Saccharomyces cerevisiae S288C: one gene and its partners. Changing the gene in region 1 together with any one later gene gives a genetic interaction. Each region holds a gene or a part of one and is shown on either strand. Other genes may lie near its edges.

Region 1 (3,746 bases):
TATTACTAGGTTGTTTGCCTTTGGATTCTCCTTCAAAAAGTAAATTTCCACGTTCGAGTCTGTAAGGGTTGGTTAAGAGATTGGTCACTTCTCCAACTGAATCCTGTGATGTAGTTAAAGTTTGGATAGTTCTAATGATTTGTTTTGAGTAAATTTCCGCAATAGAAACTTTCCCCTCCGTATCACCGATCAATAATAATGTACCATCCATTGATATTTCTAGGCATGACACATTTGAATTTAGGACATTCTCACAGACAAGTTGGCCCATTGCATATAGTGCATCCAAATCTTCATTTTCGCCGCCAGTTAGTGAGTTACGTTGCACTAGGGAAAAAACCCTACCTTTTTGAACTGTGTTTACTCCGGCGGACTGTAGCAGATTAACGATAGCATTACCCTTTAGTTTATAAAATAAATTCAATGAAAAACAACCTTCCGCAGTACCAATATAGCATGCTCTGTCAGCAGGATCCAGTACAATGGATTTGATAGAATAAGGAGTTGTAAATGTCGCAAGCAATACTGGGGTCTTACCAATACTAACGTCATTTTCGTTTGCCTTCTGCTTCTTTTTGCTGCCTATTAAACTCAAATCATAGCATCTAATGGTAGCATCTTGAGATACTGTGAAGAGTTTCGTATCAGTACATGATAAAAATTTTCCTTGACTAGAAGAAACTTGGAAATCTGTCACGGGTAGAGTATGATCGTGAAGGATACATAAAGGCTTAGGATCATCATTGGACGCTGATACCAAGTCAACAGTTTGCCATATAATAACTCTCGAATCGTTACCAGAAGTAATAATATACTTGCCGTTTAAAATGGACTTAATCTTGGTGATACTTTGGTAATGAGCCATAGGCTTCACGTTCAATAAAATCCCTGAATTTAACTCCCATATGTACAATTTACCCGATTCGGTGGAGCCAAGTAAAAGGTACGGAAGATTGAAGTCTGGTAAATTATGATTGACACCTTGAATTCTATCATACTGCACACCATCATTTTCAACTACTTCCAGACATTTTAGGATTTCAGGTAATGGTAAGCGCTGTTCAACAGATTCTCTTTTGAAAGAACCTGACAGATTGTAGACATTGATTAATGCTTTTTGTGCTTGAGCAATAAAAAGGTATTTATTTCCTACTTGAACACAGCTATTTCTTGATTGAGTGGAGCATTGCCTCAAATTTATCTGTTCAAATGAGTGTACAGAAGCTATTGTTCCTGAGGTATTTGTTGTAAAAATAACTTGCTCATCCATTTTATCGTCCCTTGAAAGATCCTGTTTTATGAATATTGAACAATCAATCTTAACGCATATGCCCTTGTCAGAGCCGTCCTTCGAATAAGCATATTTGGAATGGGCATCGATTTAAAATTTTCATTTAGTGGGATGTAAAAAAAAATTTTAGTTCGCGCGTACAGTTTTTCAACATTTGCCATATGATGTAGAATGGCGCTATCAAATCATCACTCTTATTACAGGTGAATCGCGCGCTAACACTTCAATTACAGACACATACTCCTGAATGGGTGCTTTCAAATCCCCTCTCCCCCAAGATCAAGTCCTATTTCAACTTCTCCTCTCAAAAACCCTCTATGTGACGCTGTGTATTCTTTGTTGTAGTTATGCTCCACGATACAGTGGCTGCTCATGAGCTTTCCTAGGAGCTCAGCACGTAAATGTATAGCGTACATGCTATAAGCGTGGCAGTTATTATAATAGTTCACACGGTATCTTACCGTATTAATTTATCAAAGTTTGCAGTTATCCATTCTGTGCCCGCGTTTCTTTTCAGTTTATAGACGCGATCGAATGTGCCTTAAAAATTTGGAAGAAGAGAGAGAAGGATGCATAAGTAATAGAACATTACGAGAAAATAGTTTACAGAAACAACTGGCTGCCCTGAAAGGCTTTTTTGGAGAGGAACAGAAACAAAGAACAAAAATTTTTAGAAAAAAAAAGAAATGCCTTTGAATATTATTGGGACGGCTCTCCTAGACGGGACTGACAAGATTCCTTACTATCAAACAATCAAAAAGGTGGCACCTTATGTGCTAGCGACTGGTGCCATTAAATATTGGTCGAGAGGGCCATCAAATACATGGGAAAGAAAGTTGCACGGTAAAGTTTACTTGGTTACTGGCGCTACCTCTCAAGGAATGGGAACATCCGTGGCTTATAAAATGGCAGAGTTAGGTGCACAATTAATCATCTTGACTAGGGAAGTAGATGAATGGGTTACTGAATGGTGCGAAGAATTACGTGAAAAGACAAAGAACGAGTTGATTTTTGTAGAAAAATGTGATTTGAGCAATTTGTGGGAGATTCGTAAGTTTGCCACAAGTTGGTTAGACAATTCGCCACCTAGAAGATTAGATGGCGTTATTGTCATGTCCGGTGATATGGAACCATGGGGTATCCCGAAAATATCTTTGCCACAGAGGAGATCATCTAAGGATGGGCTGGAATTGCAAATTGCTACAAACTATGTAGCAATTTTCCATCTTTTAAACTTATTACAGCCTAGTTTCAAGGCTCAACCGCCTGATAGAGATGTAAGAATAATTCTTGCCACCTGCTGGTTACAAGTTGTTGGTGATATTAATATAGAAGATCCGTTGTGGCAAAATGCCAAATACAAAAGCGCCTTGAAGTTTTTCGCAAGCAGCAAGCTACAATTGGGATTGAGTATGATGGAATTGCAAAGAAGACTTACCGAAGACATAAAAAACCAAAAGACGAATGGCGCTGAAAGAACAGGAAAAAATGTTACCATTACTATGGTTCAACCTGGAACTATGAGATCAAATAGCCTACGCCGCGTCATTAGTAATGGTTCGGTGGTATTGTTAATAATACTTTACTGTATTCTGTTGTACCCCATATTGTGGCTGTTTACCAAGAGTGGTCGTCGTGGTGATCAAAGTTTCTTGTACGCTTTAATGACACCGGAATTGGAGGAAGTAAACTTAAAAGACACGAAGGTTAAGTATATCTCAGACTGTTCAATTGTGAAATTTGCTCGTAAAGAATTTGATGACGAGGAATTACAGAAGAAACTATTTGATAATACGGAAAGAGATATTTTACAATTGGAAAAGAAAGTCGCGGCAAAGAGAAATGCCAATAAGACCGGGAATCAAAATTCTAAAAAGAAGAGTCAGAACAAGAGTAGAAAAGATGATTAGAAATGAGAACGTAAATATATGTGTAGATTTCTTTTTTTCTTATTTATGATATCGGTATATGTAATTATTTATTTACTTTTTCTGCCTCCTTGATATTAAAGTATTACACACTTTGACTTCTTTTTCTTCTTGTCGTTTCTCGTCTTTGGTTTAGCTTGCTTGTTGTGATGATTATTTGAGGCAATTTTACTACCTTTGCTTTTTGATTGCTCGTGAATTTTGTCTTTTTGTCCCTTTTTTGTGGGTTTGATATTGAGAGCTTCCTTCTCCTGCTGTAAGCTTCCTTTCGGAAGAGTACTATCTGTACTATTATTATGGTGTGGTTGCTGTTTTTGTTCTCGAATATTTTTATCTCCATTGGTGTTGGTTGTTGCAGTCGTTAATTCATCAGTTAGAGTATGATTTGCTGATTTTTGGTTAGGGGATTCTGGTTCGTAGATAGCGTACCTCACCGCCTGTTCAAAGACTTCCCGGACACCTGCTTGGGTAGCAGCTGAACATTCGGTATAGCCCATAAACCCACATCTTTGTACGAGTTCATCTAT
Region 2 (6,362 bases), on another chromosome or scaffold:
CTAATGGACTGCTAATATTCTCACGGTAGGTAATACCAGCAATCGCAACCATCTTATCCTCTTGTGAAGAGCTCATCGATGGACTCACTAATTCGTCACCTGGTAACAGTCCTTCACTTCTACCCTCATGGTTTTCATGAGCATCCTCTTTCTCCTCCTCCTGGCTCGATGAGATCTCATTACTGCCGTCCATGGCATTGAGGAGCGAAGACGATGGCGACTCTATTATGGAGAACCTGCCCGTTGCGGTATGTTTATATTTCTTTGGCGTCGTGAGATCCATGTTTGTGAATGATGGTGATTCGTCATATTCAAAGTTATCTAAATCTGTGGGCTTCCTCTTCCTTGGAGTTTCATTTTTCTTGTCAAAATTTTGCACCTTGGTACTTTCGCCCGCCTGCCTATCTTCGTCATCATCTTCATCGTCATCTGTGCTGCCCATGTGATCATCATCCTCATCATCTTCATCTGCACCATCTTCACGATAATCGTCGTCGTTGTCATCGTCATCTTCATCATCGCTATTATTCTTCGTAACATCGCTCTGACAATTTTGTCCTTTATTATCGCTATTATCATCGTTTATCCCGCAATCATCCTCATAGTATTCTTCCACCATGAAATTTTCATCTTTCAGCAAAACATTACGCTTACTCTTATTCCCCATCTCCCTATCTTCATCACCATCAAAAAATCCTTCCTCTTCATCCTCGTCATCGTAGCCTAGGTTGACACTCATTATAGAGTCGATTTCTCTAATAAAGGGTGCCAACTCCCTAGTATTGTTTTCGGTCATCCACGGTATCTTCATTAGTGAGACATCTTCTTGATTCTTGATGAAGTTAATATCTTTCTCCTTATCGTCCTCTTGCTTCTCACCGTGTGTTTTATCAAAAACCTGCCAACTGCTAGTTACCATGCAACATTTTTCTAGCGCATTTACAAACTTCTCCAATTCATTGATCTTGTAATATTTGAAAGGATCATAACACAATTCGCATATCCGAAGTATTGTGAATGGAAATGTATGATTTTGTAAAAAATTATCATTCAGAAACTTACCCAGCCAATTTAATCTAGTAACGAGATTTCTCGCATCGTTCATTTCATTCTTAAGGTTTATAAATAGGTCAAACGGTATTGTTTCAGTGATATGCCGGATTAAATCAGGCAAAACTTGCTCGGGACCCGCCGTCACCAATCGCGTCTTGTCGCCCTGTTTCACCACATCGCTAAGTAATTCATAAAGGCTGATAGACTTGATACCCATCATATTATTATCCACATCATCCAACATCGTCGAGCTCATAGCTTTTTATTGTGCTTTGACAATCGATGAGAACACCAACAAAAAATGATAATAGGTATTGTTAGCTGTGTCAAAATACATGCTTTTGATCGCGAAATGAAAAACTACACAATCATTACCCGTCGGCGCTTCGGAGGGGGATTAGATTTCTCCTATAATCAAAATCTTCAACTATTACAAACCCCTTTTCAGAAGCACATTGAAAACAACACACAACAGAGCACTTTGTGATAGGCAATAGAGTGCTTTTAAATAGAGAATTACTGGTTCTCGCGAAATAATATAGCGCGTTGAAACTAATAAATAGATTCGTGAAGCTCTAGATCTATCTTTTTTCCTGTTTTTATCTGTGTGTTTTCAATAGGATTCGAACGATATAGGCCATGGCATCTATTACTTTTAGAACTCCATTATCCTCTCAGGAACAAGCCTTTTATAATCAGAAATTTCACCAATTGGATACGGAAGATCTCGGGGTGGTCACTGGCGAGGCAGTCAGACCGCTCTTCGCGTCTTCTGGTCTTCCAGGGCAATTACTATCGCAAGTGTGGGCTACCGTCGATATAGACAATAAAGGGTTTTTGAACTTGAACGAGTTTTCGGCTGCTTTGAGAATGATCGCTCAATTGCAAAATGCTCCCAACCAACCAATTTCCGCTGCCCTATATGAGAGCACACCTACTCAACTGGCTTCTTTTTCTATAAATCAGAACCCAGCCCCTATGCAAAGCGGTAGTGCAACCGGCAATACAAACAACACTGATATTCCTGCCTTATCCTCAAATGATATTGCTAAATTTTCACAACTGTTTGATAGGACAGCAAAGGGTGCTCAAACTGTTGCTGGTGATAAAGCCAAGGATATATTTTTAAAGGCAAGATTACCAAATCAAACTTTAGGTGAAATTTGGGCTCTTTGTGATAGAGACGCATCCGGTGTCTTAGACAAATCTGAGTTTATAATGGCCATGTATTTGATCCAACTATGTATGTCTCATCATCCTAGTATGAACACACCACCGGCCGTGTTGCCTACTCAGCTGTGGGATTCTATTCGTTTAGAACCTGTTGTTGTTAATCAACCAAACAGGACTACTCCTTTGAGTGCTAACTCCACTGGCGTATCTTCACTAACAAGACACTCTACTATATCACGTCTATCTACTGGTGCATTCAGTAATGCTGCTTCAGATTGGTCTTTAAGTTTTGAAAAAAAACAACAGTTTGATGCAATTTTTGATTCATTAGATAAGCAACATGCTGGTTCGCTAAGCTCTGCTGTGTTGGTTCCATTCTTCTTATCCTCTAGATTAAACCAAGAGACGTTAGCCACCATCTGGGACTTAGCTGACATCCACAACAATGCTGAATTCACCAAATTGGAATTTGCTATTGCCATGTTCTTAATTCAAAAAAAGAATGCTGGTGTCGAATTACCGGATGTTATCCCCAATGAATTATTACAGTCCCCCGCTTTAGGACTTTATCCGCCAAACCCACTTCCTCAACAACAAAGTGCACCTCAAATTGCCATCCCCTCAAGAGCAAGTAAGCCTTCTTTACAGGATATGCCACACCAAGTTTCTGCCCCAGCAGTTAATACTCAACCAACAGTTCCACAAGTTCTTCCTCAAAACTCAAATAACGGTTCTTTGAATGATTTACTGGCTTTGAACCCTTCATTCAGCTCTCCTTCTCCCACTAAAGCACAAACTGTGGTTCAAAACAACACAAATAATAGTTTTTCATATGATAATAACAATGGCCAAGCAACATTACAACAACAACAGCCACAGCAGCCTCCACCTTTAACTCACTCCTCCTCTGGATTGAAGAAATTTACTCCCACCTCAAACTTCGGTCAAAGTATAATCAAGGAAGAACCAGAGGAACAAGAGCAACTAAGGGAATCCAGTGATACTTTTAGCGCTCAGCCTCCGCCAGTTCCAAAACATGCTTCAAGTCCAGTCAAACGTACAGCTTCAACAACACTGCCACAAGTTCCCAACTTTTCTGTGTTTAGCATGCCAGCAGGCGCTGCCACTAGCGCTGCCACTGGTGCTGCTGTAGGCGCCGCAGTGGGTGCTGCTGCTTTAGGCGCATCCGCTTTTTCAAGATCTTCCAATAATGCATTCAAGAACCAGGATTTATTTGCAGATGGTGAAGCTTCTGCTCAGTTATCTAATGCTACCACAGAAATGGCTAATTTATCTAACCAAGTAAACTCCCTGTCCAAGCAGGCAAGTATAACTAATGACAAAAAGTCAAGAGCGACCCAGGAGTTGAAACGTGTTACTGAGATGAAAAATTCCATTCAAATCAAATTGAACAATTTACGTTCTACCCATGACCAAAATGTTAAACAAACGGAACAACTGGAAGCACAAGTACTTCAAGTAAACAAAGAAAACGAAACATTAGCGCAACAGTTGGCTGTATCCGAAGCAAACTACCATGCCGCTGAGTCCAAACTCAATGAACTAACTACTGATTTGCAAGAATCTCAAACAAAGAACGCAGAATTAAAAGAACAAATTACGAATTTGAACTCGATGACAGCCTCCTTACAGTCACAATTAAATGAAAAACAACAACAGGTCAAGCAAGAAAGGTCAATGGTAGATGTTAATTCAAAACAGCTAGAGTTGAATCAAGTCACAGTAGCAAACTTGCAGAAGGAAATCGATGGTCTTGGCGAAAAGATAAGCGTTTACTTAACTAAACAAAAGGAGTTAAATGACTACCAAAAGACCGTGGAGGAGCAACACGCACAATTACAAGCTAAATACCAGGATCTGTCCAACAAGGATACTGATTTAACGGACCGTGAAAAACAATTGGAAGAACGTAACAGACAAATTGAAGAACAAGAAAATCTCTACCATCAGCACGTTTCTAAATTGCAAGAAATGTTCGACGATCTATCACAGAGAAAAGCTTCTTTTGAAAAAGCTGATCAAGAGTTAAAGGAGAGAAACATCGAATACGCTAACAATGTGAGAGAGTTATCCGAAAGACAAATGAATTTAGCTATGGGACAATTACCTGAGGATGCTAAGGACATTATTGCGAAAAGCGCCTCTAATACAGATACAACAACCAAAGAAGCCACATCAAGAGGAAATGTTCACGAAGACACTGTATCCAAATTTGTCGAAACTACTGTTGAGAATTCAAACTTGAATGTTAATCGGGTTAAAGACGATGAAGAAAAGACAGAAAGAACCGAAAGTGACGTATTTGATAGAGACGTTCCAACTTTGGGATCTCAAAGCGATAGTGAAAATGCCAATACAAACAACGGCACCCAGTCAGGAAATGAGACAGCAAATCCAAACTTAACTGAAACATTAAGTGATAGGTTTGATGGTGATTTGAATGAATATGGTATTCCAAGAAGTCAATCCTTGACATCGTCTGTTGCAAACAATGCTCCTCAATCCGTAAGAGATGATGTTGAGCTACCGGAAACGTTGGAAGAACGTGACACCATCAATAATACTGCGAATAGAGATAATACTGGAAACTTATCTCACATTCCTGGTGAATGGGAAGCTACCCCAGCTACCGCTTCTACTGATGTTTTGAGCAACGAAACTACAGAAGTTATTGAAGACGGAAGTACCACAAAAAGGGCTAATTCAAATGAAGACGGTGAGTCGGTCAGTTCTATCCAAGAATCTCCAAAAATCTCTGCTCAACCAAAAGCAAAGACAATAAATGAAGAGTTTCCACCAATTCAGGAATTGCATATTGACGAAAGCGATTCATCCTCTTCAGACGATGATGAGTTTGAAGATACCAGAGAAATTCCATCAGCAACAGTGAAGACCCTTCAAACTCCCTATAATGCCCAGCCCACATCAAGTTTGGAAATCCACACGGAACAAGTCATAAAATATCCCGCTCCAGGCACTTCTCCTTCACATAATGAAGGTAACTCAAAAAAGGCAAGCACCAATTCCATTTTGCCTGTTAAGGACGAATTTGATGATGAATTCGCAGGGTTAGAACAAGCGGCTGTGGAGGAAGATAATGGTGCTGATTCGGAATCTGAATTTGAGAATGTTGCGAATGCTGGGTCGATGGAGCAATTTGAAACCATAGACCATAAGGATCTCGATGACGAACTACAAATGAACGCTTTTACAGGGACGTTAACTAGTTCCTCTAACCCAACTATCCCAAAACCACAAGTACAACAACAGTCAACCAGTGACCCTGCTCAAGTAAGCAACGATGAGTGGGACGAGATTTTTGCTGGATTTGGTAACTCCAAAGCTGAACCAACCAAAGTAGCTACCCCAAGCATTCCACAACAACCAATTCCATTGAAGAATGATCCTATCGTTGATGCTAGCTTGTCAAAAGGTCCAATAGTTAACCGCGGGGTTGCAACTACTCCAAAGTCTCTAGCCGTCGAGGAGTTAAGTGGCATGGGATTTACTGAAGAAGAAGCGCACAATGCCTTGGAAAAGTGCAACTGGGATCTAGAAGCCGCCACTAACTTTTTGTTGGATAGTGCTTAGTCTGTAATGGACCATTTCGTCTTCTTTTTGTACTTCTTCCTCGAAGCTGAATCATATTTACCCTTTTCCAGGATCGTCCTTGTATATTGTGAATTATTCTAAAAGTAGAATATGTTGTACTTTAAAATTGTTATAGTTATCATCATCTATTTTTCCATTTTATAAAATTTTTACGTTAGACAGTTATGTATTGAAACTGCTTCATAAGTTTTGAAAATCATCCCAGTTTGGTAAATACACTAACCAAAAAAAAAAAAAGCTCTACCACATAATCTTTGGGCGTATTACAACATGGGAAACACGACATTATTGAAAATACAAAAAAAGTAAAGTAAGACTCGTTCAGGGCATAAGTCAATGGCCCTGTAAGAAAAAACAAAGTAGCTAGGCTCATAAGAGATTATCTGTTTAATTTTCTTTGAATAAAAAAAAGTATAAATCGATAAGATAAAATACCACAATGAAAAAATAAAGGCTACTTGAAAACAACTGGACCAAACCAAAACCCAATTAACCCAGACCAG
Region 3 (7,767 bases), on another chromosome or scaffold:
TAATGAGTGCAATGACAGCTTCCGAGAATATTTCGATAGTTATTGTTAGCATTCTCAAAACTGTGTATGACATATAGAATGCCATCACTGTGGGAGTCAAGAACACTAGAATAATAAATAATAATGTTCCCAATAGCAATTGATCTAGTTGAAAATAGTTATGGTCAATCCTATTTCGTAAAACGTTCCTCTTTTTACCGCAGAACAGGTTAAAAAGACTAGCCATAATATTCAACTGACAATGGTACAGTTTACTGCTGATACGATAAAAAACATATATTGGAAAACTTAAAATTGCAAAAAAATCAATCGCTAGGGAAACAGCAAAAGAAAAGCCAACGAGAAACATCATATATATCGTTAACGTGAGCAAAGATGATAGGGTTTTCGGATCAATGAGTCTTTTTATGAATGTGGTATAAGAAAATTCTATCACCCAAAGAAATAATTCGCTCAAAAAGTTCGCAAGTTCTGCATTTAATTTGATGCCAAGGGGGTTATTTGCTAACGTTTCAGTTATTGTTTTTAATGAATCATATAAAAAAAACTTCAATACTCTATGGGATGCCGACACCAAGAAATCTCGATTCTCAATAAGTATGGCCCCCAATATTAAACCAAATGAAATGTCATTAATAATAAGCCAAATTGTATTATACAATAAAATATAATCGGGATAGAATTTAGAAGGCATATATGAATGTGAGAATTGACTATTAGAATTATCTTTTTCCACCATAGAGCCAACATTCTGTATGTTATCCTTCTTATTAATACGCTCATACTGTACTGGGAAATAGCAAATTTGTTGACAACGAAGATCGATTTGCTGGACAAATGCCGAGTAATTTACCAACTGAAAGTGCGAATAATTTAATAACGAGGATACGAGACTAGCAATAGAGCAGATCACAAAAGTCAAATAAAAACCAATTTTTGCGACCATTTTATAAATACAAGTAGATGAACACCAAGCTGCGACACTATTAAGCATAGTACCCCTCAAATTTTCCTGTGATGTTTGAATAAACGGGTAAAGCTCATTTAATGCTTTACAATATGCGGGGAATAGATTAATGATGTTCAAAGTTTCACTCAATTTCTTATTATCTCTCTTGTATCTTGGATGTTGCTCTAATTTAGAATAGTTCAGAGTTTCACCCACACTACTATGAAGACCAACTTCTTTTTCTGGTATGATGAGCGAGATGGGATCAGAAGAATAGAATTGCATAAATTTCAGCTTGGGTATTCTAAAATGGACATTACAGGGATCAGCAACTTTGTAGTTCCAACCCTCCGCTCCATTGTTCTTAGTAGCTACCACTGAATAAGGGGGCCGTATGCTTACTTCTTCTAAATACTGAGGTTCGCAAACACCTAAGACAACAAAATGCGTCTTCTCAAATGAAATTGCCAAAGCTACCTGAGGTCCTTGAGCTGCGGAATTCTCGAACAAGGATTCGTATGGCCAGAAAATGTAATTTGGCATGTCATTTAACTGTATAAAACCGCCCCTGAATTCGAAGGTTCCTGTTCACAGAGGAATTTTCATTCTTTTTGGTATTATGTTCTGGTAGGTTTTTTTCATATTCTACATTTCGGCATTCTCACTGAAAATAAATATAGATGAGATAGAAGATCATGAATCAATGGTTGGTGACAAGCTAACATAAGGAAAATCAAAATACACGGCATTACTAAATAGAATATATTGTTAGTACTATGCAGGGGAGAAAAAGGACGCTTACGGAACCATTTGAGCCAAATACCAATCCATTTGGGGACAATGCAGCAGTAATGACGGAAAATGTTGAGGATAACAGCGAAACAGATGGTAACCGTCTAGAATCAAAACCACAAGCTTTGGTCCCACCAGCTTTAAATATCGTGCCACCAGAGAGCAGCATCCACAGTACTGAAGAAAAAAAAGGTGACGAGTACAATGGAAATGATAAAGATAGCTCCTTAATCTCCAACATATTTCGTACTCGTGTCGGAAGGAGTAGTCATGAAAACTTGAGCAGGCCTAAACTCTCACTTAAAACAGCATCATTTGGTGCCGCTGAATCTTCCCGGCGTAATGTTTCACCCTCTACAAAATCTGCCAAGTCTAGTTCGCAGTATATTGATTTAAATGATGAAAGGCTACGCAGGCGTAGCTTCAGTAGTTATAGCCGATCATCTAGTAGGCGTGTTTCTAATTCACCAAGCTCAACGGATAGGCCTCCACGGTCGGCAAAGGTTTTATCGCTAATTGCCGCTGATGATATGGATGATTTTGAAGATTTGCAAAAGGGATTTAAAAGTGCAATAGACGAAGAGGGCCTGACATGGCTACCCCAATTAAAATCAGAAAAAAGCCGTCCTGTATCAGACGTTGGAGAAGATAGAGGAGAAGGAGAACAAGAATCTATACCTGACGTTCATACACCCAATGTAGGAGCAAGCGCTACTCCAGGATCAATTCATCTAACACCCGAACCCGCGCAGAATGGTTCGGTATCTGAGGGTCTAGAAGGCTCTATTAATAATTCAAGAAAGAAACCCAGTCCAAAGTTTTTTCATCATTTATCACCGCAAAAAGAAGATAAAGACCAAACAGAAGTTATTGAGTATGCTGAAGACATTCTAGATTTTGAAACCCTTCAAAGAAAACTGGAATCAAGGCCCTTTGTGCTTTATGGACATTCTCTTGGGGTTTTCTCGCCTACGAATCCGCTAAGAATAAAAATTGCTCGTTTTTTGTTGCATAGGCGGTATTCGTTACTTTACAACACTTTGTTAACATTTTATGCCATTCTCCTGGCGATAAGGACATATAACCCTCACAATGTGGTTTTTTTATACCGTTTCTCTAACTGGACCGACTATTTCATTTTTATTTTATCAGCTTGCTTTACAGGCAATGATATTGCTAAAATAATTGCGTTTGGATTTTGGGACGATTCTGAAATGTTTAAAGCCTATGGACGTGAGTATAAATCAATCTTACAGAGATCTGGAATTATGAAACTATACATATATCTGAGAGAAAAGTATGGTAGAAAGCTAATAGATTTCATTATTCCATTTAGGATCATATCGCCGGGAGAAGAGACAAAATATCAACGAAGTTCGTTGAGTACTTCCCTGACGAAACCTTATGGGGCAAAGGAAAATCAGAGGCCTTTTGGCACCCCAAGAGCCTTTGCGAGATCATCGTGGAATAGAATAGATCTGGTATCTTCTGTCAGTTTTTGGCTAGGTATGTTTTTATCCATAAAAAGTTATGATACAAAAACAGGCATAAGAATATTCAAGCCCCTTGCTATATTAAGGATTCTTCGACTTGTAAACGTGGATACTGGTATGCCCTCAATTCTAAGGGGATTGAAATATGGTATCCCACAGTTGGTAAATGTTAGTTCAATGCTAGTTTACTTTTGGATTTTCTTTGGGATTTTGGGAGTACAGATTTTTCAGGGCTCTTTTCGAAGACAATGTGTATGGTTTAACCCTGAAGATCCTACCGATACTTACCAGTACGATATGCAATTCTGTGGTGGTTACCTAGATCCAGTAACAAAACGAAAACAAAATTATATCTATGAAGACGGATCAGAAGGTTCTGTTTCAAAAGGCTTTCTTTGCCCACAATATTCGAAATGTGTTTCCAATGCCAACCCCTACAACGGCAGAATTAGTTTTGATAATATTGTTAATTCCATGGAGCTCGTTTTTGTCATTATGAGTGCGAATACTTTTACTGACTTAATGTACTATACGATGGATTCGGATGAAATGGCTGCCTGTTTGTTTTTTATTGTTTGCATCTTTGTTTTAACTATCTGGCTGCTAAATCTACTCATTGCAGTGTTGGTATCATCTTTTGAAATAGCCAATGAGGAGTACAAAAAGAAAAAGTTCATATATGGTTCTAGAAAGACAGGTTATGTTGCTCGCATAGTAACAGGCTACTGGAAATATTTTAAGCTTAAGGCGAATCAGACAAAATTCCCAAATTGGTCCCAAAAAGGACTAGCTATTTATTCCCACGTTGAGTTTATCTTTGTCATACTTATTATTTGCGATATAGGTATGCGCGCCTCTGTTAAAGTATCGACTTCGGCAAACTGTAACAATATCCTTCTAAAAACTGACAGGGGAATTTCGATTGTTCTCTTCATCGAATCACTGGCAAGGTTAGTATTATATCTGCCCAATATGTGGAAGTTTTTAACAAAACCTAGTTACGTTTACGATTTTATTATATCAATTATTACTCTGGTTATTAGTTGCCTGGCTGTTGAAGGGGTTCTAGGACATATGTATGCCTGGCTATCCATATTCCACATATCCAGATTTTACAGGGTGATTATTTCTTTCAATTTAACAAAAAAACTATGGAAACAAATATTGAGTAATGGTGTTATGATTTGGAACTTATCGTCTTTTTACTTTTTTTTCACCTTTTTGGTTGCTATAATCATGGCTGTGTATTTCGAAGGCGTGATTCCTCCAGAAGAAATGGCAGACCAGCCATTTGGAATGTATTCACTACCGAATTCATTTCTTTCTTTGTTTATAATAGGTTCAACTGAAAATTGGACGGATATCCTATATGCCCTCCAAAAACACTCACCAAACATCTCCTCAACTTTTTTTTGCTCAGTATTTTTTATTATATGGTTTCTACTATCCAACTCAGTGATCTTGAACATTTTCATTGCCCTAATATCAGAAAGCATGGAAGTGAAAGAAGAAGAAAAACGACCACAGCAAATTAAGCATTATCTTAAGTTCGTCTATCCTCAGAAAATACAAGAATATACACACGCTAGTTTGGTTGCGAGAATTCGTAAAAAATTCTTTGGAGGTCATAGGAACGAAGATACAAGAGATTTTAAGCAATTTCTTATGAGAGGAACCGCGATAATGAACATAGCGCAGAATATGGGGGAGTTGGCCGATGAATTCAAAGAGCCACCTTCAGAAAACCTATTTAAAAAGGGCTTATCAAAGCTCACAATTGGGGTTCCGTCACTAAAAAGGCTGAGAATGTTTGCTAATAATCCATTTTATAAAAATAGTGACGTTGTGTTTACAGAAACGAACGATATAAATGGGAGGACGTATATCTTGGAGTTGAATGAGTACGAGGATGAGAAGCTAGATTATTTAAAAAAGTACCCTTTATTCAATTACTCATATTATTTCTTTTCTCCTCAGCATAGATTTCGAAGGTTCTGTCAACGCTTGGTACCACCAAGCACTGGAAAAAGGACTGATGGATCACGATTTTTCGAGGATAGCACTGATCTATACAATAAAAGGAGCTATTTTCATCATATTGAAAGAGATGTATTTGTATTCATTTTCGCACTTGCCACCATTTTACTAATTGTTTGCTCATGTTATGTTACGCCTCTATATCGTATGCATCACAAGATGGGAACTTGGAATTGGTCCTCGGCGTTAGATTGCGCCTTCATTGGTGCCTTCTCAATTGAATTTATCGTGAAAACAGTAGCTGACGGATTTATATATTCTCCAAATGCTTACCTGAGGAATCCATGGAACTTTATTGATTTTTGTGTCCTAATCTCAATGTGGATTAATTTAATTGCATACCTAAAAAACAATGGAAATTTGTCTAGGATTTTCAAGGGATTGACAGCCCTGAGGGCCCTCAGATGCCTCACGATCAGTAACACAGCTCGTCAAACATTTAACCTAGTTATGTTTGATGGTTTAAATAAAATTTTTGAAGCTGGGTTGATTTCACTCAGTTTGCTATTTCCATTTACAGTTTGGGGCTTAAGCATTTTTAAAGGCCGTTTAGGTACTTGCAATGACGGAAGTTTGGGCCGTGCAGATTGTTACAATGAATATTCAAATTCCGTTTTTCAATGGGATATCATGTCTCCAAGGGTTTACCAGCAACCATATCTTCATTTGGACTCTTTCGCAAGCGCTTTTAGTTCATTATACCAAATCATTTCTTTGGAAGGATGGGTTGATTTGTTGGAAAATATGATGAATAGTTCAGGAATAGGTACACCCGCTACGGTAATGGGTTCAGCAGGGAATGCTTTATTCCTCGTTCTGTTTAATTTTTTAAGTATGGTTTTCATCCTGAACTTGTTTGTTTCATTCATTGTTAACAACCAAGCAAGGACAACAGGAAGCGCTTACTTTACCATTGAGGAAAAGGCGTGGCTGGAATCCCAGAAACTTTTATCTCAGGCCAAGCCAAAAGCTATCCCAAATTTAATTGAGTTATCAAGAGTTAGGCAATTTTTCTATCAACTTGCAGTGGAGAAAAAAAATTTCTACTACGCATCGTTTCTTCAGGTAGTACTTTATTTGCACATAATCATGCTCCTGAGTCGAAGCTACAATCCAGGAAACTTGATAGGTTATCAAGGTGTTTATTTTATGTTTTCCACTAGTGTTTTTTTAATTCAAGAGGCACTTCACATGTGCGGTGAAGGACCAAGATTATATTTTAGGCAAAAATGGAACAGCATACGACTCAGTATCATAATTATAGCCTTTATTATGAACGCTGTAGCATTCCACGTTCCAGCCTCTCACTATTGGTTCCACAATATAAAGGGGTTTTTCCTGTTAGTGATATTTTTGTTTATTATTCCTCAAAATGACACACTAACTGAACTATTAGAAACCGCAATGGCAAGCTTACCGCCTATTCTATCATTGACCTACACTTGGGGGGTTTTATTTTTAGTATATGCTATTGCTTTGAATCAAATCTTCGGCCTAACAAGGTTAGGGAGTAATACGACCGATAACATAAATTTTAGAACTGTAATCAAATCCATGATTGTTCTGTTTAGATGTAGTTTTGGTGAGGGCTGGAATTATATCATGGCCGACCTAACTGTGTCAGAACCTTATTGCTCCTCTGATGATAATTCAACCTATACGGACTGTGGATCAGAGACATATGCCTATTTGTTATTAATGTCGTGGAATATTATTTCCATGTATATTTTTGTGAATATGTTTGTTTCGTTGATTATTGGTAATTTCAGTTATGTTTACCGTAGCGGTGGATCTCGCTCTGGCATCAACAGATCGGAGATAAAAAAATACATTGAAGCTTGGTCCAAATTTGATACTGATGGAACTGGCGAGCTTGAGCTGTCCTACCTCCCAAGAATAATGCATTCATTTGACGGTCCTCTTTCATTTAAAATTTGGGAAGGTAGATTGACAATAAAAAGTCTAGTCGAGAACTACATGGAGGTTAACCCAGATGATCCATATGACGTCAAAATAGACCTGATCGGACTGAACAAAGAGCTGAATACGATTGATAAAGCAAAGATCATACAGAGGAAGTTACAGTACAGAAGATTTGTACAAAGCATTCACTATACGAATGCTTATAATGGATGTATCAGATTCTCGGATTTGTTATTACAAATACCTCTCTATACAGCTTATTCTGCAAGGGAATGTCTAGGTATTGATCAATATGTCCATCATCTATATATCCTGGGTAAAGTGGACAAGTACTTAGAAAATCAAAGAAACTTCGATGTATTGGAGATGGTGGTAACAAGATGGAAATTTCATTGCAGGATGAAACGTACCATTGAACCCGAATGGGATGTTAAAGATCCCACAGTATCGTCTCACATTTCGAATATAAACGTAAATCTGGAACCTGCTCCAGGAATTTTAGAAAGAGAACCTATTGCGACACCTAGAATGGACTACGGTGTTAACAATTTTATGTGGTCTCCGAGAATGAAT
Region 4 (5,262 bases), on another chromosome or scaffold:
TTCCTTGAAAATGGTGGTACTTATTTGCTGAGGATCTTGTGTAATTGTTAGAATTATAGCTTGGTGTATTGCTATATGGCCCGCTGTGATACTGAGTGTTATATTGGTATTGATATTGATATTGGTATGGGGGATACATAGGGATTGGGGTGCCAAACGAACAGGACCCTTGGGGATTCATATTGTACATGTAAGGGTTCATGAAGACTGTGTTATTGCCCATTACCATGGGTGAAGGTGCAGGACCGGGGGCAGGACCAGCGGGGTTATACATTAGAGGGTAGGTTGGCAGACTATTGCCACCCATTTGGGGAGGAGGATACACAAGATATGGCGAAGAATATCCCGATTGGTAACCGCCGTTTTCTTTATTCCGACGACTTTGGCCTCTATAGGCATCTTTGTAATTGTTTGTTCCTCTTCTTCTTCCTCCTCTTCCTCTTCGACTATCATAAAATTGTTGTTGAGGTTTGTTTACTTGTATCGTCGTCACAGATGAATTGAATGGTGATGAAGAGCTAACTGAACCGTTACTAGTTTGTGTGTTAGAGTCATCTCCGTTCAACCAATCACTCCATTCATTGTCACTATCACTACTACCGCTACTGTTGGTTGACTTTACATCGTCTTCACTCTTGTTGAGCTTATCAAAAATTTCTTGTTTACGTTGTTCATAAAGTCTTTCCTTCTCAATTCTTTCTTGTTCCAAATCAGTACTAGATTTATCATCGATTTCGATTTTTTGGTCCTTATTTGAATTGGCTGTCAAATTGCTATTTGGTGTACGTGTATTGCCATCGATTTTATAATCGCACTCGTTACCTACCTCTTTCCGCTTTAAGATTCGAAATATTCTGTTATTGTTCGATTTTTCAATACTCTCACTTGAGGAAGCACACTCTTCCGGTTTTTTGTTCAGCTGCAACTCTTGTAAGAGTGGCTTTCCTTCAATCTTTTGGAAATTCTCACCTTTGAAAAGAATCACACAACTATCTTGAGTTCTTGCCAAAACATGGTTCAAGTTGTGGTACTCAGCTATTTGGTGCGATAGAAGCCTATAATATGAATTCATCGGTCTTAGCTGAAATGATTCTGTGTTTGAGTTTATGAATGACACTATGGAATTTTCCAGCTCTATTATAAAGATACGGTCCTGTGGTTTCTGGAACAAGCCCGTTTCCATAGCGGGTGTCAATCCCCAGTTTCGAGAATCTAGTGCTGTCATCACCTACTTCTGCCCTAACTCCTTATATACTTGAAGAGACTTGAATATCTTAGTTGTTAGTACGATACGAAATAACTAAAAAATTAATTAAAATAAAATAAATCGTGCGCCCATTATAAGATGCACGTTTCAACATACTGTCACCACGGCTTGCTGGTACAATATGGCTCAATTGCCTACGCCAAAACTTGTCGAGTTGTATGTGAAAGAAAGAAGAAACAGATAGGCTAACCCGCATATGACACTAGCCAACGCTTCTTAATCGATATTCTTATTATATCAATATTATTTTGCGCTTAACGATTCATCCTTTCGTCGAGGACGCTATTTTGTCAGTATTCGTCAGAGGCGATAGTCTGTCTTTATTACAAAAGGTGAATTGAAGATCAAAGGTAGATTCTAACCATTGGCAACAAAATAATAGAGGTGTACGCCGCAATCATTGTTAATCATTAAGTAATTGCCATTTTATTCACATTTTTAGACTCAACCACTTGCTGTTGCCACAGTAAACGTTAATTATATCTTTGAGAATTGTGTCAGCCAATAGAAAGGTAAAGTTGACCACAAGTTGTTTAAGGGGAAAAGTTAACTTTGAAAGTAGAACCCTCATTCCATAGATCATGACCGCCATAGAAGATATTTTACAAATCACCACCGATCCTTCCGATACCCGTGGCTACTCTCTATTGAAGTCCGAGGAAGTGCCTCAAGGCTCAACTCTTGGAGTTGATTTTATTGATACGCTACTATTATATCAACTCACCGAGAATGAGAAGTTGGATAAACCGTTTGAATATTTGAACGATTGCTTTCGCCGTAATCAGCAACAAAAAAGAATCACCAAAAACAAGCCAAATGCTGAGTCATTACATTCCACTTTCCAAGAGATTGATCGTCTTGTCATTGGCTATGGTGTCGTTGCCTTACAAATAGAAAACTTTTGCATGAATGGTGCTTTCATCAATTATATCACTGGAATTGTTTCTAACGTTAACTCATATACTGATTTCCTTTCCCAAATCATTCAAAGAGCCATATTAGAAGGTACCGCTTTGGATTTACTTAACGCTGTTTTCCCGACATTATTAGAATACTGTAATAAACATGTCAGCCATTTTGATTTGAACGAATCTGTAATTTACAATAACGTTCTTACCATTTTTGAGTTATTTGTTACATTTAAACCTATTGCAGAAATATTCACTAAAATAGATGGTTTTTTTGCAGACTATAGCTGTAAACCACAGGATTTTGAAAGGAAAACGATATTGGGGCCTATTTTATCTCTTTCTCCCATAGAAGCTGCTGTGGCAATCCGGAACTACGGCGATAACCTTTTGCGTTCCAAACAACAGACAGCCATGATCCATGAATCTCTACAAGCTGAGCATAAAGTTGTCATAGATAGACTCTTTTTTATTGTCGATAAGCTTGTTCGTGGCTCCTTAAACTCAAGGACTGATATGATTAGTTATTTTGCCCATATCGCTAATAAAAACCATTTACGTAGAGCCGATCATCCACCATTCAAAGAACTATCCTCTAACGGATTTATGTCCAATATCACTTTGTTATTGGTTAGATTTTCTCAACCATTTCTAGATATTTCATATAAGAAAATCGACAAGATCGACGCAAATTACTTCAACAACCCAAGTTTATTTATTGATTTATCAGGGGAAACACGATTAAATTCTGATTTTAAAGAGGCAGATGCATTTTATGACAAGAACAGAAAAACAGCAGATTCTAAGCCAAACTTCATCTCTGATTGCTTTTTCTTGACATTAACCTATTTGCATTATGGTCTGGGAGGTACATTATCATTTGAAGAGAAGATGGGATCTGAAATCAAAGCGTTAAAGGAAGAAATTGAAAAAGTAAAGAAAATAGCTGCGAACCACGATGTCTTTGCCAGATTCATTACAGCACAATTATCCAAGATGGAGAAGGCGTTGAAAACAACAGAATCTTTGCGATTTGCTCTTCAAGGGTTCTTCGCTCATAGATCTCTTCAACTAGAGGTTTTCGACTTTATTTGTGGTGCATCTACGTTCTTGATTCGTGTTGTGGATCCTGAACACGAATTTCCGTTTAAACAAATTAAATTGCCATTAATTCCGGACCAAATAGGTGTTGAAAACGTGGACAACGCTGATTTTTTGAGAGCGCATGCTCCAGTGCCTTTTAAATACTATCCAGAATTTGTTGTAGAAGGTCCAGTTAACTATTCTCTATACATTTCGAAGTACCAGACCTCTCCAATCTTCAGAAATCCACGTCTGGGATCGTTTGTTGAGTTTACAACAATGGTCCTCCGTTGTCCTGAATTGGTTTCCAACCCACATTTAAAAGGTAAATTAGTGCAGTTATTAAGCGTTGGTGCTATGCCTCTAACAGACAATTCCCCCGGATTCATGATGGATATATTCGAACACGACGAATTAGTTAACAAGAATCTGTTATATGCTCTACTAGACTTTTATGTTATTGTTGAAAAAACAGGCTCTTCTTCACAATTTTACGATAAATTCAACAGCAGATATAGCATATCAATAATTTTGGAGGAGCTTTATTACAAGATACCATCTTATAAAAACCAATTGATCTGGCAGTCTCAAAACAATGCTGACTTTTTTGTGAGGTTCGTTGCTCGTATGTTGAATGACTTGACTTTCCTGTTGGATGAAGGCCTAAGTAATTTGGCTGAGGTGCATAATATCCAAAATGAGCTGGATAATCGTGCAAGGGGCGCGCCACCAACAAGAGAGGAAGAGGACAAAGAACTACAAACAAGATTGGCGTCTGCTTCCAGGCAAGCTAAGTCCTCGTGTGGATTGGCCGATAAATCGATGAAACTGTTCGAAATCTATTCGAAGGATATACCGGCTGCATTTGTCACACCAGAAATCGTATATAGACTGGCAAGTATGCTAAACTATAACTTAGAGTCACTTGTCGGTCCCAAATGCGGGGAACTAAAAGTGAAAGACCCACAAAGTTATTCATTCAACCCAAAAGATTTGTTGAAAGCCTTAACAACTGTTTATATCAATCTTTCCGAGCAATCAGAGTTCATCAGTGCTGTCGCTAAAGATGAAAGATCATTTAATAGAAATCTCTTTGTTCGCGCAGTTGATATTCTTGGTAGAAAAACTGGTTTAGCATCTCCAGAGTTCATCGAAAAACTATTGAACTTTGCCAATAAAGCCGAAGAGCAAAGAAAGGCTGATGAAGAGGAAGATCTTGAGTATGGTGATGTTCCTGACGAGTTCTTAGATCCTTTGATGTACACAATTATGAAGGATCCTGTCATTTTACCAGCATCCAAGATGAATATTGATAGAAGCACGATCAAAGCACATCTGCTTAGTGACTCTACTGACCCGTTTAATAGAATGCCTTTAAAACTAGAGGATGTAACACCTAATGAAGAGTTAAGGCAAAAGATTCTTTGTTTCAAAAAACAAAAAAAGGAAGAAGCAAAACATAAAGCAAGCGAGTGAATGAATAAGTGATAGAATAAATTGCAAAATTGACCCTAATCAAATAAGGCTTATTTCATCGCTCAATGTGTCTTATATTTTGAAGATTTTCGATGAAAATGTTTTAATTTAACAATTATTTAAAAGGTGCTAGAAAAACGTAGAAAAGTTGGAACTATAGATAATGATAGTATATAATTGAACTTCCAATTAAGCCTTAATAGCGTACTTTCTTTGTGGGAAAGCGATTTGCTTCTTTCTTTGCTTTTCGGTAACTTGGGAAGCTTCGAATTTGGTCAAAGCTCTTCTCAAAGCTCTGGTCTTCTTGGCTCTCAAGTCCTTTGGTTGGTACTTCTTACCCTTGTATAATTGTCTAACAGCTTCTCTTTGTTGTTCGTTGATGACGGTCAAGACACAGGCGATACTCTTTCTGACGGTCTTGATCTTTGGCAAAGATGGTCTGGACAACTTTTGGACCTTCAATTCAGCCAACTCCTTTTTCAAGTCAACCAATTGAGAAGCCAATTGTTCCTTGGATTTGGTTCTTAG

What was found.
Region 2: mutations in PBR1 (region 1) and EDE1 together harm fitness more than expected from each alone (negative genetic interaction), as found in Saccharomyces cerevisiae (3 studies listed by BioGRID).
Region 3: mutations in PBR1 (region 1) and CCH1 together harm fitness more than expected from each alone (negative genetic interaction), as found in Saccharomyces cerevisiae (2 studies listed by BioGRID).
Region 4: mutations in PBR1 (region 1) and UFD2 together harm fitness more than expected from each alone (negative genetic interaction), as found in Saccharomyces cerevisiae (3 studies listed by BioGRID).

The regions. Positions count from the first base shown.
Region 1 is NC_001146.8:296,358-300,103, forward strand, and holds PBR1 (putative oxidoreductase), read left to right. Parts: upstream 1-1,977; coding exon 1,978-3,201; downstream 3,202-3,746. Other genes in the region: chromatin-binding/pre-rRNA-processing protein IPI3, read right to left, coding at 1-1,270; Rho family GTPase RHO5, read right to left, coding at 3,297-3,746. UniProt on the Saccharomyces cerevisiae protein: May be involved in lipid metabolism.
Region 2 is NC_001134.8:127,371-133,732, reverse strand, and holds EDE1 (Ede1p), read left to right. Parts: upstream 1-1,692; coding exon 1,693-5,838; downstream 5,839-6,362. Other genes in the region: PSY4 (Psy4p), read right to left, coding at 1-1,309; RRT1 (Rrt1p), read right to left, coding at 6,123-6,362. UniProt on the Saccharomyces cerevisiae protein: Functions at the internalization step of the clathrin-mediated endocytosis (CME) as an early-acting scaffold protein. Requires clathrin adapter proteins, ENT1/2 and YAP1801/2, for normal spatiotemporal dynamics and viability.
Region 3 is NC_001139.9:922,971-930,737, forward strand, and holds the start of CCH1 (calcium channel protein CCH1), read left to right. Parts: upstream 1-1,725; coding exon 1,726-7,767. Other genes in the region: GPI1 (phosphatidylinositol N-acetylglucosaminyltransferase), read right to left, coding at 1-1,492. UniProt on the Saccharomyces cerevisiae protein: Voltage-gated, high-affinity calcium channel that functions together with MID1 to mediate calcium entry into cells. Required during conditions of environmental stress.
Region 4 is NC_001136.10:118,179-123,440, reverse strand, and holds UFD2 (ubiquitin-ubiquitin ligase UFD2), read left to right. Parts: upstream 1-1,848; coding exon 1,849-4,734; downstream 4,735-5,262. Other genes in the region: RBS1 (Rbs1p), read right to left, coding at 1-1,225; 60S ribosomal protein uL29 RPL35A, read right to left, coding at 4,924-5,262. UniProt on the Saccharomyces cerevisiae protein: E4 ubiquitin chain-elongation enzyme specifically involved in polyubiquitin chain assembly.